2 linked regions of the Canis lupus familiaris genome follow. The protein of the gene in region 2 interacts with the protein of the main gene of each other region in a biochemical or structural test. Links are inferred from orthologs where the notes say so. Each region holds a gene or a part of one and is shown on either strand. Other genes may lie near its edges. The genes, in order: NSMCE1 and MAGEF1.

Region 1 (3,815 bases), on a different chromosome or scaffold from region 2:
GAAGTACTGGAAAAGACAACACATATTTGGTGTCAGGAAAGGAAAAAAAAACTTTCACTCCCTATCTCTCAAGGATTCACTGTCCTTCACTGACTAATGTCCTTTGTTTCATTTATTTTTAATTGTTTCATACAGGAAGGTAAACTGCTCCCTGTTGCTCTACCTTGGTCAAAAGTAGAAATCCTCAAACACAGGTCTTCTTAACCACCACTCCCTAGGCTTCCTGTGCCTAGTTCCATTAAAGGAGGCTTATACTAGAATCATATGATTCTGCATCTGCATGATTCATGAAACCCAAGGTGAAGCAAGAGCTTTGTCTCTGTGTCACCAGTCCCTAGCACAGGGACCTGGCCTCCATGATGCCACAGCAAGAGGTGCTAGATGATCACACACATGTACACAAGATCCAGCTCACAACCCCAGGTGCCCTCAGAGGGCACATAGGCCCTCCATGCCACTTAGAAAGCCCAGACCCAAGGCTTTACACCAGCCCATCACAACAAAATATAAACTCTCCCTAACCCAGATAACTGGGGAATTTGCTTCTAGTTTAATGATGGTAAGACCTGGAACCAGAGCCCAGAATAGGAAGCATGTTTGATAAGTTGGACAAAAGACCATGGGAAACTACAATCAGAATAACTCACAGATTCAATTACTCCTGTTTCATAATTATCTTAGAAGCTGAATATTTTTCCAGCTGGTAAAAGGGGACTTTCCAGGGCATCTTTTCAAAAGACAGATTAATGATGTTTATATTTATTTAATTTGAGATCATTTCTTTCCATCATCTCTCATTTTAAAATCTCTGAAATAACATTAATGCTTGAGAGAAAGCTTTTTTTTTTTTAAATGAAGGGTGTAGGGAAAAGCAAACTACAGCTCTATCCCATTTAGCCCAGCCATAAGCATATCTTGATATCTTTCTTTATGCACAGATACGGCACATAAAGTGTGAATAATAAATTAATTCCTAGATATATTCTACAGGACTTTCCTAAATTAGGTCATAACAACTTTAAAGGTCAAACAGAGGCAAAAACACTTTCATTCTTAGTACTAAGGCACCATGTGGCTCCCTGCAGTGAGCTATGAAACTTCCCCATTAGCATTAAAGCCCACATTTAGGACTTACAAGAGAAACTGAAGGGGAGGAGGAAGGGATAAAAGACTAAGAAAAACATTCTTATGCCCTTCACCAGAGCATTCTGAGGGGGAGGGTGGAAATCCTGTTGTGCTTTTTTAAGGAGTGAGAGAGGCTGGCTTGGCAGGTGTAACATTCCCTTCCCCTAATAGAGGCCCTCACCAAAGACCTCTATCCACCCCAACACAGGCAAGTAGGACAGACATGTTTTTACCAGAAAAATAGTTTTCCAGCACAACACTAATTATGTCCCTTTCCCGTCTCAAGTCCTTTCAGACGTCCACACTGTACTCAGAATTAAGTACATAAGAAACCCCATTACTCTGGTGCACATACTATGGGTTCTTCCTGATTTATAGACTCACATACCACAAAGACGCATCTGTTCCCACACATCATATGTTCCTATCTGGGGTTTCCCAAAGTATGTCAAGTGGAGGTCAACGAGGTTTAGATAAATGGGATTAAATGGAGTTCAACAGGTTTCCTTACTGTCGGATCCCTGCAGGCATTTCATTTGTTAGCGTGTACCAGCCAGCTCCCAGAATTTCATGTGGCATACCTCAAGGGGCCAGTCTCTCCAAAACTGCCTCTGCCCTAACCCGTAAGCTCTCATCTTCCTTCTGCACGTCTTGGGAGAATATGTGTCTCTGTACCCACCAGCTCGCCCTTCCTGCTCCCATCCACCCTTCACCTCTCTCAGATCTGGCTTCTGCCTCCCCCATGCCACATTCGGCACTTCTCCATATATGGCCCCTCTTCTCATGGGCCTTCACCCCTAAACCCAGTGCCCCATGCACACCTTTCCTCACACCTCCTGGCTGGCTCACCTCTCTGTGCTTTCCACTCTTGTTTTGGAAACAGAAAATACACTCAGAAAGACAAAAGCACAGAATATAACCACCTGTATTCCCATTAATCAGAAGTGATGATCATCAGACTATACTATGAATGTCATGTTTACTTCAAGTCTTCTTTTCTTTAATAAAAGAGCAAAATAGAATAAAGATGAGTGTCCTTTGATTTCTCCCCAAAGGCAAGCACCTCACAAGTGTGTTACATAGCCTTCTGGTCCACTCTTACTTTTTTTACATGCAGATGTTAAGTATTTATAAGTTGGGGCACGTGGGTGGCTCAGTAGGTTAAACTACTGCCTTCAGCTTGGGTCATGATCTCAGGGTCCTGGGATCCAGCTCCGCATGGCATTGGGCTCCCTGCTCAGCAGGGAGTCTCCTTCTCCCTCTCCCTTTACCCCGCCCCTGCTCATACGCACTCTCTCTTTCTCTCTCTCAAATAAATGAAATCTTTAAAAAATTTGTTATGTTTTACAAAAAGCGTAACACAGTGACATCGTACAATAAGTATAATTTATCCACTTTCTTTTTCATTCAACAGGATCTACCCATACTGACACTCCACTCAACCTGAGCTACCAATATTGATTTTACTGACCTGCCAGCAATGATCCTACTGTTTCTACTGTGACTTCCAGTTAATGAAAACTCAGCCAGGTCTGGTCGCTGAGTGCTCTGTGTGTATTATCTTACATCCCATCTCAGCAACCCACTGAGAAGATGCTCCAAATTCCCAGCTGGCCCAGGACAGGGTGGCATTATCTCTGGGTTTGGCTGAGTCCAAGGCCACGCTCTGACCCCCTGTGCTAAGCTGCCCTCTAACCACTGACAGCTAAATGAGCACCTTCCCCAGGGTCAGGCACTTTGTATGTATCTTGTCTCTTAATCCTCTGAACCTATGGTGTCAAGGATGATTAATTATCCTCATGTGAGAGATGAAGAAGTTCAGGCTAGAGAAGATGCTGGAGCCTTGGTGTGAACCACAATTAAACAGCTTCAAAGTCCAAATTCCTACCCACTGGGCTAACTATTAGATTTACTAAAAAAAGTAAATAAATAAAAAGTAAAGTCAAAGCCGAGATGAGAAGCACAGGCTGGTGTGAGAGTATGGGAGAGACCTGACCACCCAGGTTGTTTTATCCCAGTGTCTTAGTCCCTGATCGCACAGCTCCAGGGCATCCTGGGAACGGGGAAATGATACTCACGGTCATGGACTCGATAGCAGTGCTTCTGCAGGCGCCGAACGTCCCACTCCTCCAGCACTCCATGAGTCATCAGCAACTGGAGGAATCGCCGGTGAACATCAGTCATGACACCCGCTCTTCTAGTACCACCCTGCATGTGCGAAGGAGCTAAGAAAAGAAGCAAACAAAACCCATTCACCTCTGAGCGCTCCGAAAGCCAGGTTCTATATTTTGTACTAACTTACATTCACAACTAGCCATTTGTTATAGTTTTTAGACTCAAGAGCATCCTGCCGAATAGCCCAAAAATGAAAAGGACACCAGTCAGGGGCAAGCCAACTAGTACCAGCAGTTACTAAAGAGTAACGTGGGTCCCAGAGCCAGCCAGCACGCCTGGACCCAGCCTACCCTACCATCTAAATGAGTAAAATTGGAGAACCTGTCCTCCCTGTGCTTCAGTTTCTGATCTATGAGACTAACGACAGAACCGTGCTCCACAGAATTACTCTATTCGGTGAGTTAACACATAACAGATTTTACTTATTTATTCATGAGAGACACAGAGGGAGAGAGAGGCAGAGACACAGGCAGAGGGAGAAGCAGGCTCCCTGCAGGGAGCCTGATATGGGACTC
Region 2 (3,802 bases):
CCAGAGGGGAGGTGGCAGGTAGAAAGCAGCCGGTAGAAACAGGGATGAGGGCCCAAGGCTGCCTCGTGCCAGGGGAGAAATCTTGAAGTGGAACTTCTTGGTAGTAGGGAATGTCAGTACATACCCTCCACCCACAGGACACAGTGTTCCAGAACTGTTAAGAGTATTTGGTCTCTGACAGCTTTGGTAGAAGAGGGGACCTTGTAGAGGTTGAGAAGGCGGATGGAAGGGCCCAAAATGCTAACGGCCACCATCACTGTGTGCTCTAATGAGTTGCCACTGGCAAAGACAGGGTGTTTTCCAGCTCTGCTATGTATCAAGCCTTCTTCCCCTGTTATTGAGAAGCACCTGTGCCCTTCAGTTATTTTCAATACCACTTCCCTCCCTCAACTTCTTTTTCTCCTTTCCCTCCCCTCTGCGTGCCCCATCCTTCCCCACTTCCCCTGAAGTCTGACTGAAGGTAATTTTAGCCAAGCCTCACCAACCAGCCCAGATGGGTTAGGTGTCCCTCTGCAGCCTTCAACTTGCTGCTCTGTAATTTCTGATTTTCTTAATCCCCAGTTCCAGAATGTAGGACCTTTATCTTGTTCAGCATTCTATCCCCAAATGCCCCCAAACACCACATAAAAAAAGACACTCAGCAAATGTTTAATTTATTGAGTGTGTCAGGGTATAGTTCTAAGTTACTACATTTGCATTTTTCTCGAGATACTATAATAGCTACAAATAGAGGTACAGGTCAGTCTTTTCTCTTTATACAATATAGACAAAAAGCACTGGGAAGCTAGACACCAATCAGCTATTCTTCTCGTGGTACCAGGTGATCCATACTGCTGAGTTCCATCGACTCATTAATGTACAGCATTACAACGCCACGTCATTTGTTCAAGATCACAGAATAAAACGTGAAGTCTTCGATTCGTTTTACAAAACCCGCAAAACCCTACAACAAAATCCTACCGGAAAAAGGTGACCAATCTCATTTATAAACATCAATGTTAACAGTATGTAAACTGTAACAAAACATAGCAAGATACAAAACCTAAATCCTAGTTACACAGATACAACTTCTAATTAACAACCTACTTATGATGCTACTTATGACGGTAGCTTTTTCGCGACCACCAAGACCCTGGTGGCCACGTTGCCACCAGCCCTCACCAGGGGCTGATGCCAGCCGTCTCAGTGGCCCTGGCCCTGGCTCTGGCCCTGGCTCTGGCCCTCATACTGGCCTCCGCTCTGGCTTTGGCTCTGGCCCTGTCGGCCTCGTCTGCCAGGGCCTCACGGTACTGCACTGGCCAGTGCTGGGGTTCTTTCTTATGGAGTTTGGCCACGAACCCCAGGACCTTCATCTTGCTGATTTCCAAGTTGCTCCGGGGACCCCAAGAGAATTCACATTCGGGCGGATTGCTGTGAGGCACCTGCCTGTAACTGAGGTATCGCTGCTGCACAAAATCTTCCATAATAAGCCTCTTCGGGTACCCGAAGAGGAAGTGGTACTTGGAGGGACGCACCCCCAACCGACGTAGCATCTCCCAGACCTGTGTCTCCCTGGCACTATTACCTTTCATGTAGATAAGGCCCAAGATCATTATTAGGAGACCCAATCTGGGGCCACCTCCTCCCAGATCCTCCTCCTCCTCCTCCTCCTCAAGAGGTTTTAGTTTGTTGATCAGGATGTAAGTGTGCTGCTTGCGGCCAAGCTGTTTCAGCTCGAAACCAAAGACGTGGCGCAGGTGCTCTGCGGCCCTTGCGATGATCTCAGGCGACAGATCCTTCTGGTCTCCGATTACGTATTTCACCATCTCGGAGCGAGTGATGGGACTCTTCTTCTTGTCCTTCACCAGCAGGAACTGCACCAGCTCGGCCACCGTCCGGTCCAGGCGGCGGTAGGCCCTGCGCCGGGCCGAAGCTTTGGCTGCCAAGGTCCTGGCGCCTCTCGGGGCGAGGGCGGGCTCTGCAGGCCCCTCCTCCCTGCGGGCGCCGAGATGCTCCCCGGGGGTCTCCTGCAGGAGGGGGCTCGCGGCCTCCTGAGAGGCGGCCAGGGCCTGGGTCTCACCGTCGCGGCCGCCATCCTTCTCCCCCTCGGCCCGGAGGATTGGGAGGGCCCCGCTCTCGGGTTTCTGCAACATGCCTTCGGGCGGGCAGGTGCAGAGGGCGTGCACGGGCCGAGGGGTGTGCGAGCCGCGGCGCAAAGCCCCGGCGGGGGGGCGGGACAGAGGCTGGGGGAGCGGGAGGAGGACCGGGCGAGAGGGCAGAGGCGTGCTTTCGGGACGCTGAGCCGCACCGCCGCGCTCGGGGCTCGCAACGGCTGCCGCAACGCCGCCGGCACCCCCGACCCGCGCGCGGCCCCGGCGCAGCCTGCGTGTGCGCCTGCGCGCCGGGCCGCCGGGCCACTTCCGGCCAGCTCAGCCAAGATGGTGGCCCCCGGGCCGCGCGAGGCCCCGCCCCTTCCGGCGCCCTGCGGCTGTGGGGTCGCTCCAGGGGCGGTGGGAGGTGTGAGCTCTGCGCGGAGTCTTGGGCTCCGGGGCTGCAGGAGGCCAACCAGCGCTTGCTCCTCCGAGGCCTGCAGAGTGGGAGTGTGTCCACGGGCGAGGCGGCAGGCGATAGGCGTGGCGTTTTTAGGCACGTCTTATCAACAAGTGCTTACTTTAAGTCTGTGTACCCAGGATTTTGAGTGATAATCCTGGCTCAGGTGCAGAGCGCGGGAAAGGATGCCAGGGAGATGGACATGTGCTCCAAACACGCTGGGAAACCACTACTGGGAGTTGGGAGTAGTGTCCAGACCAGATCTCCTATCTTTACAGTCTCCCTCCCCCGTGGCTGTGGCCGTGGCCGTGGCCGTGGCGGTGCGGAGGAGGATGGACTGCAAGTAGGGACGACCAAGTGCTGGGAATCCAGGTTGGAGGCGTGTTAGAGCGCAGAATAGGAACGGAGACTTGGCTTGGCTCGGTCACTGCTGTAGCCCCGCACCAGCACAGTGCCTGGCACCTATACTATTGCATAAATATTGCAAGATGGTTGATGAGGGGGTGAGGATCGCAGATTCTACAGGGGTGAGAGGAGGATAGGGCTGGCAGAAATAGTGATGGCAGGAAAGGGGTCACAAACTACTCCCATGACTTCTTTGCATACCCCCAGTTCTTGCCTCTTTCACCTTCTCACTTTCCCTCCCTCTTGCCTCCTTCCTCTCTTTCATTTTGGGGCTCAGCCTAAATGTCACCTTTCCAAAGCCTTCCTTTAAAAAAATAATAATAATAATAAACACAAAGCCTTCCTTAATCTCCATGCATGGAAGTTCTTTACTGCCATCCCTGAATCAACATAGCAATTTACATTTATTTAACATCCTCTTATACAGACCTTATGTACTAGGCCCTGGTCCTTACCACTTTTCAAGTATTTGTTTGTTTAATTCTCATTAAGTCACTGTTAACATCATCCCCATTTTATAGATCTGTCCTTTCCCATGGTGTTTGCTATTTACCAGCTGTGTAATCTTGGGCAAGTTACCTAAACTCCCTGCCCCTCAGTTACCTTATCAATAGGATGGGTATAATAGCAGTCACAACAGTATGGAGATTATATGAAGTAATGCATATATAGTACTTAATGCAGTACTCAGCACATATTGAGTGTTCAATAAATGTTACCTATTATTTATTGCATATTTTAATGTGCTGATACTGTGCTAAGTATTTACATATCTAAGTCATAACAGCCCTGCTAGATAAGTGGTATTATTATCCCCATTTTATAAGTGAAGTAACACACAAAGAGGTTAAGTAACTTCCTCAACATC

The links.
Region 1: the proteins of MAGEF1 (region 2) and NSMCE1 form a complex in vitro, tested with the Homo sapiens proteins (2 studies listed by BioGRID). The link is inferred for Canis lupus familiaris from reciprocal best matches to the Homo sapiens genes MAGEF1 and NSMCE1.

Annotation. Positions count from the first base shown.
Region 1 is NC_049227.1:19,537,515-19,541,329, reverse strand, and holds part of NSMCE1 (non-structural maintenance of chromosomes element 1 homolog), read right to left. Parts: intron 3,351-3,815; coding exon 3,204-3,350; intron 1-3,203. UniProt on the Homo sapiens protein: RING-type zinc finger-containing E3 ubiquitin ligase that assembles with melanoma antigen protein (MAGE) to catalyze the direct transfer of ubiquitin from E2 ubiquitin-conjugating enzyme to a specific substrate.
Region 2 is NC_049255.1:17,712,487-17,716,288, forward strand, and holds MAGEF1 (melanoma-associated antigen F1), read right to left. Parts: upstream 2,331-3,802; 5' UTR 2,133-2,330; coding exon 1,158-2,132; 3' UTR 633-1,157; downstream 1-632. UniProt on the Homo sapiens protein: Enhances ubiquitin ligase activity of RING-type zinc finger-containing E3 ubiquitin ligases. Proposed to act through recruitment and/or stabilization of the E2 ubiquitin-conjugating enzyme at the E3:substrate complex.